Arabidopsis thaliana: one gene and its partner. The protein of the gene in region 2 interacts with the protein of the main gene of each other region in a pairwise test. Each region holds a gene or a part of one and is shown on either strand. Other genes may lie near its edges. The genes, in order: AT5G07490 and AT4G14103.

The links.
Region 1: the proteins of AT4G14103 (region 2) and AT5G07490 interact in a protein complementation assay, tested with the Arabidopsis thaliana proteins (one large-scale study listed by BioGRID).

The regions. Positions count from the first base shown.
Region 1 is NC_003076.8:2,368,544-2,372,155, reverse strand, and holds AT5G07490 (uncharacterized protein), read right to left. Parts: upstream 2,024-3,612; 5' UTR 1,909-2,023; coding exon 1,674-1,908; intron 1,368-1,673; coding exon 1,153-1,367; 3' UTR 830-1,152; downstream 1-829. Other genes in the region: KUOX1 (KAR-UP oxidoreductase 1), read right to left, coding at 2,602-2,877, 2,987-3,302.
Region 2 is NC_003075.7:8,125,366-8,129,294, forward strand, and holds AT4G14103 (F-box/RNI-like superfamily protein), read left to right. Parts: upstream 1-1,549; 5' UTR 1,550-1,582; coding exon 1,583-2,506; intron 2,507-2,639; coding exon 2,640-2,780; intron 2,781-2,859; coding exon of another isoform or gene 2,860-2,940; exon of another isoform or gene 2,941-2,958; coding exon 2,959-3,225; 3' UTR 3,226-3,468; downstream 3,469-3,929. Other genes in the region: AT4G14096 (F-box/RNI-like superfamily protein), read left to right, coding at 1-143, 255-395, 475-837; AT4G14104 (capsid-like protein), read right to left, coding at 3,515-3,929.

The DNA of each region.
Region 1 (3,612 bases), on a different chromosome or scaffold from region 2:
AGAAGGCACACGTGTAAGTGATAATCAGAAGAACTTAAAAATAATAAAGAGGAGAGGAGCACCATCTGGCACACGTGTCGAGAGGAATCCTTTAAATCCTCGACAGCCGTTTCTCTTTTGCAATCTTGGTAGGTTGGTGAGAGCATTGCTAAATCCAAAGACAATAGAAATAGTTTGCAAATGTCATTTCCATAATTTATATTTTAGTCGTAATAAATTTGATCGAAGTAGGAAATGATTATACAGCATACTATTATCACCATAAAAAGCTTATTTATCACTTTTTTATTTAGATCCGAAAAGTTTTGCGTTAAATACATTTTTTCGGAGCGAAAATCAGGCATAAATAAAGTTTTTTCTGTGCACTTGATATTCGTATCGTTTTTTCTTTATGTCCGAAAAGTTTTGCGTTAAATACATTTTCTCGGACCGAAGATAAGACAAAAACAAAACTTTTTCCTCGCATCTACTATTCAAATCGCTTTTTTGTTATATCCGAAAATTGTTACGTTAAATACATCTTTTTAAATTGAGAATCGTACGAAAATAAAGTTTTTTCATCATTTCATATCCGAATCTACTTTTTTTAAAATATGGTTTTAGATTCTAACTGTTTTAGCTATGAATTTTAGATAAAAAAATAATTTCTTTCTAATTTGTAGCTAAAACAGTTGAATCTAAAATCATGTTATAGAAAAATTGGATTCGGATATAATTGTTTTCTTTTTGTTTAGAGCCTTTACACACTAGATTAATGTCTTTATTTTTGGCAGATCTATAAAGTGACGGTTTTTAATCAGAATTTATGCCAGTTTACAAGGTTTTTTTTGGAAAGACGCGTATTCTTTTCTGAAAAGAAAAGAAGCAATTGCATGCACAAATGGTAACGTTTAAACTTTTTTCCCTAGTCTTTTTTAAACATCAAACCGCTGTCCTCCAAGTTGTAGCAGATTAATCAAAAAGAAAGGCGTCAATACAGAGTGAAAGTAGTTCTTGTGGATCTTGAAGATAATGTGAAGAACTAAATATAAAAGTTTAACCAAAGAAACACATCTCCTGATCAACTAACATGCGCAATCAAAATAGAAAGAAAAAAAAGAATAATTCGTTTTGAAAGTTTATCTCGTAAATATTTATCAAACAAAAAGGTGATTAATAAAAACCTTTCATCACTTTCCTTGAAGCTTGTATCCTCCGATTGCGTTTATTAGCCTCGCGTTTTAGTTTATTTTTTGAATGTCCGACCTCTGTGGCGGCTCCTAAGAATCCGGTCTGAGTTCCGTCGCTGTCATTGTCAATGTCTCCTTCGATCGTTAATCCTTCAATCCTAGCCGCAATGGAGTCCCCTTTCACCCCAACATCTACATCTATACGTAAAAAAATGTGCAATCATTTTATTTGACGCTACAAATCTACTTAAGAGTATCAAATATGTATGTACGTTACACATATCTATCATGTGAGTTCCGAATTGATTTTAAAAAAGAAAGATTATGTGTTTAAGGAAACTTGATTCATGGCCTTCTATCACAAGTAAATAACTGGATCAAAAAGACTAGAAGATGCAACATTCTCAAATAGATGGTTTGTTTGCACGCATAGAGAATCGAGCAAATATATATGATAGCCTAAGATCATGAATAGGGACACAATGTGTATAATTGTAAACAAACCTGGATTAGAGAAGAACCAAAGGACGAGAGCACAAGCAAGAAGGACAAAAGGGATTATGTGAACGGCGTTTTCAGCAAACTTGGTACGTGACTTCTCTTTCTTAGTCATCTCTTGGCCAGTGGGATCGTATGGAGCCGGCTCGTCTTCGTCTAAGCCCTTCCATAATCCCTTTGGTGCGGACCAAGGCACCGAGTAATCCTCGGTCACACGGTTCCAGCTCGCGGATCTGTACATATTGGGTCTATATAATCCGATCTTGTTGTGTAGAAGGGATTGGATCAGTGTCTTTACAACGTAACGAATTAAGGCTAAAAGATACTTTTGTGTCAAATCAGATAAAAATCGTAATTCTTTACTAAACAAACACCCCTTAAAAATTTATTAAATATTTGGTGGCGAATTTAGGGCCTACGCCTTTGGTAAATACAGATGGACCAGATCGATGTTAGGACTTTGTCAAAATTCTTGAATGAATCTCACTCGTTATTAATTACGTAGATTTTTTCGAATTATTATATACATATATTTATGTTTTTTTTTAAAGGTTTTTTTTTTTAAAGGGTTTATGTTTTTAAAATATTTATGTTTAAAAAAAAAAACCAATTAACCATGCATATTATATTTCTTTTCTTCTATTTGTAAATAGAAAAATATTTAATAAAAATAATCTAAATTAGACGCGCACATACATATTTGGGTGGTATTTTGATTTCAATGAATATTTGGAAATCGAGAGAATGATATGCTAATTATATATCTTACATTACAATTTAACACGTATATATGTCTCTGATATACATCTCCACGTTATCACAGGTTAAACGCCAAAAGGACATGGACTGAGTCATACCGTGTACCAAACCAAACCGGGCTAAGACCTGATCAGTCCTTTATTCTTATTCTGTATTTATTTTATTGTCCTCTTAATCAGTCCTTGATTCTGAGAGTGTCAATAAACCTATCCCCTTGAGAAATGTCATTTTTGACAAGAAAATCAAGAAAATCGTTAAAGCTGCTCTCTTTATACCGAACCGGATTTTCATCGTTAACCAATTCGCGCGGTACACTCATCTTATCGTCCATACCCAAGCTATGCAAGCTCGCGAGAGAGATTCTCGTCTTCTCTTCATTCAAAGTGACTTTATGAACGATGCTCTTGTATAATCCATTGCTTAGAACTTCCACATGGTCACCAATATGGACCTAAATAAAGAAAAAAGAGCGAAGATGCATGGTGATTACATTTTTTGTTTTGGATCTAAACGTTTCAATTATTTCTGTTTACGTCTAAACCGGTACAGTTGAAACGCACCTTAAGTACACCTGTGACTTGTGGGACACCAACCCAACGGCCAGATCCACCGTGAGCCATTGGATCGAAGATCTTGAGACCGTCCAAGTTCTGTAGAAGGAGGGTGATGCAACTATAGTCTGAATGCGGCGGCAGGCCTAGCGCCGTCTCAGGGTCCGGACAGGGTGGATAGCAGTTAACTGTCATGACTTGCATGCCGTTTTCGTCCATCCGAGACGACAGGTAGTCTCTCCCTAGACCTAGGCTTTCCGTTATTGCTCCCATTAACTCTATCGATAGTTTCCTCACTTCCTCGCAGAACTTTCCCATTTTTTCCCTGAATTATTCACAAAAACGCAAACACGTGTGTGTACTTAAATACGTATAATAGACGATTAGTACTTGCAAAATGTGATAGACATGGTCTAAAAAACGTAAAACAAAACAGAACAGTAATTATGTCTTTCTTAATTATACAATGTAAATCCTCAACCTATTCCATTATATAAAATAAATTAAGATAAAAGATGGTCAAATCATGAAATAGTTTATTTTTAAGTCAGTTCTAAATTTCTTTAATACACAGGCAACAAAACTGTTTTTTTTTTTTTTTTAATCATAAAACCCATAGGTTAGAAAGAAAAACA
Region 2 (3,929 bases):
CGCTTGTTGAAGCTCATATCGATCTTAGATTGTTACAGGGCCATCAAGGTTATGGTGAAAATGATATGGTTGGCAATGCAACAGATTTTATAATGCGTATATGCAATGTGAAGACTCTCTATCTATCTTCCAACACTCTTCAGGTTTGTTTTCATCATGAAAAACAACTTGTAATCTTTTTAACATTGTTCAAGGATTTGAGTTAGTGATTGCAATTGAGTGATGATAATCTAGTTGTTGTGGTTGTGTTTCAGGTACTTACTTACAGTTGTGATGCTATACCAATATTCAACAACCTGACTCATTTAACCATCGAGAGTAATCCCGAAGTAGGATGGCAGTCATTGCCAGGTTTGCTCAAGAATTCTCCAAATCTTGAAACTCTTATCTTCCAAGTAAGAAACAAAACCCTTGGAAAGCATTTGTTGACTCAATTTTTCAAAGTTTAAGAATATTTCACTATGTATGTTTCAGGGCCTCATCCACAAAGCCACCGATAAATGTGGAGACGTGTGCTTGTGCAAACCTCGTGAGGAGATTCGCAGTTGCTTAGCATCAAGTCCGGTGAAGGTTATAAAGATACTGAAATTTGGTGAAATCAGTGATGACATGGAGAAGCAGAGAGAGCAGATCAAGTATTTCTTGGAGACAATGCCGAATCTTGAGAAGATGATTTTGTACTACAATACAACAAGTGTTGAAGATGTAACTGAAGTTTCAAGCCGGCTTCAGAGGCTAGTTTCTAAATTAGCTTCATCGACGTGCATTGTCCAACTAATCTCTGATAACCTCAGCTTGTCATCTACTGTATCGACAAATGGGCTCCTCTGTTTCTAAAGGGTACCTCTTCGGTTTGAAGATGAACCTCTTTATCTCAGAGATGATTACCAAAGCTTAGGGAGTACCCTAGCTTGTCGTCACTAAAATAATCTTCTCTTGTTTCTGCCTAATTATGTTCTAAAGACGTGTTATTTAGGCTTTGTCCTTATTGACTTGCAATGTTAACTTCAGTTTTTTCTTGTTACAGTTGGTCTGTTGTGTAAAATGATCTTGTAAGAGTAATTGGTAGGAGTAAGCAGACAACAAAAGCTGAAACATCCCTTTTGTGTAAAGATCTGCAACAAAACCGAATTAACATTTTATCTAATCAAACAAATAAAACAATTATCGCTAAATCAAATTATGTCAAGTAATGTTTTTGTAAGATGCTAGTATATCTGATTAAATATATTATTTTATCTAATGGAGCTCAAAATATCTTCCAAAATCTTACAAAATCTTTTAGCCTTTTAGGACAAGACACTAAAAAAAGGCTAGCCTAGGAAGTAGGAACTCACACTTTCTTCTTCACTCTTGCCTACAAATACAATCGCCAAAAACCCTAAATTTCTACAATAGTTGAGTCATTTTGGTGAGCTATCTTCACTTTAGCCTACAAATACAAGTAAGTTTCAATATCGATCTTTTTATTTTTTCAAGCTAGCGTGTTTGTTTGTTTGTTTGATTCTTAGCTTCTCGGTTGGAACACGTAGAGGAAGATTGAATCGGTCTCGTGTCTTTGGTTTTCAGGTTGTTGAAAAGGATGGATCTTAGTGGTTCTAGAGATGTAATCAGTAGTTTACCGGATGACATTAGTTCCCATATCTTGTCCTTCCTCCCCACTAAAGAAGCTGCTTCCACTTCGGTTCTTTCGAAAAAATGGCGGTATCTCTTTGCTTTTGTCCCTAATCTTGATTTGGATGACTCTGTTTATCTGAATCCTGAGAATGAGACGGAAATTTCTACAAGTTTTATGGATTTTGTGGATAGAGTGTTGGCTTTGCAAGGTAATTCTCCTCTACACAAGTTCTCTCTAAAGATTGGAGATGGCATTGATCCAGTCCGTATCATTCCTTGGATAAATAATGTGTTGGAACGGGGTGTATCCGATCTTGATCTACACCTGAATTTGGAATCAGAATTTCTGCTTCCTTCACAAGTCTACTTGTGCAAGACACTGGTTTGGCTGAAGCTAAGGTTTGGGCTATATCCCACGATTGATGTTGAAGATGTTCATCTCCCAAAGCTTAAGACGCTTTATATTGAGGCAACCCATTTTGAAGAGCATGGTGTTGGGCTTACCAAGCTTCTTTCTGGTTGTCCCATGCTTGAGGATTTAGTTCTTGATGATATATCTTGGTTCATTTGGGATTTTGCCTCGGTGTCTGTCCCAACTCTCAAGAGGCTAAGGTTTAGCTGGCAAGAGCGAGATGAGTTTCCAAAGAGTGTGTTGTTAGATACTCCGAATCTTGTATACTTGAAGTTTACTGATACTGTTGCAGGCAAGTATCCGAAAGTGAATTTGGATTCCCTTGTTGAAGCTCATATCGATCTTCGCTTGTTGAAGCCTCTATTGATAAATTACCATCAAGGTTATGGGGAAAATGATATGGTTGGCAATGCTACAGATTTTATAATGCGTATATGCAATGTGAAGACTCTTTATCTATCTGCCAACACTCTTCAGGTTTGGTTTCAGTCTATCCCGCTTTTAAATTTATGTTACTTAGAAGAAGACAAACAACCTGTAATAACATTGCTTAAGGATTTGAGTTAGTGATTGCAATTGAGTGAATCTAGTTGTTATGGTTTTGTTTCAGGTACTTACTTACAGTTGTGATGCTATACCAATATTCAACAACCTGACTCATTTAACCATCGAGAGTAATCCGAGAGTAGGATGGCAGTCAGTACCGGGCTTGCTCAAGAATTCTCCAAATCTTGAAACTCTTATCTTCCAAGTAAGAAACAAACCCTTGAAAAGCATTTTGTTGTCTCATTTTTCAAACTTTGATAACATTTCACTTATGTATGTTTCAGGGCCTCATCCACAAAGCCACATATAGATGTGGAGATGTGTGCTTGTGCAAAAAGCCTCGGAAGGAGATTCTCAGTTGCTAATCATCAAGTCCGGTGAAGGTAATAAAGATACTGAAATTTGGTGAAAACAGTGATGACATGGAGAAGCAGAGAGAGCAGATCAAGTATTTCTTGGAGACAATGCCGAATCTTGAGAAGATGATTTTGTACTACAATACACCAAGTGTTGAAGATGTAACTGAAGTTTCAAGCCGACTTCAGAGGCTAGTTTCTAAAGTAGCTTCATCGACATGTATTGTCCAACTAATCTCTGATAACCTCAGCTTGTCATCTACTGTATCGACAAATGGGCTCCTCTGTTTCTAAAGGGTACCTCTCCGGTTTGAAGATTATCCTCCTTTACTCAGAGATGGATTGACAAAGCTTTGGGGGAGTAAGTACCCTAGCTTGTTATAGTCGCTAAAATGATTTTCTCTTGTTTCTGCGTAGTTCTGCTCAAAAGATATGTTATTTAGGCTATCCTTTTTGGCTCACAATGTTAAACTTCATTTGTTGTTTGTTTTAGTTTGTCTGTTGTGTAAACTGATTTAGTAAAGAATTAAAAGAGAGTCACATATTATCAGAGGGTCCGTAGTAAAACAAGAGATCACTAGTTTTAAACGGCAGATTTCGAAACTTCATCGCTGCCTTCATTGGAGATGGCATAATAGGCTGAGAGGTTGAATCCTTCGCGGGGTCCAGGAATGAAGCTTCCGTAGTCAGCATCTGGTATAGAAGCGAGATTGAAGATTTCTGAGACGGCGTTGTTCGCGGCGGCCTTATGGAATAACATTTGGACGACGGCACCGGTAACAGTGTAGTTGTCCTCGGGGAGTGGGCATCGGAGAGAGAAGAGATCATCAGAGATCATAGGAGCGAATAGCCACAAGGAGGAACCAACTTTAACGTCTAGGACGACTGTTGTAAAGTCCATACCTAGATCATGTGCATAGCGGACAGCTTCGGCGTAGGCGGTCTGAGACCATTCGGTCTTGCGGGCACAAATCCATGTGCTTGCGAAGGCTGATTCG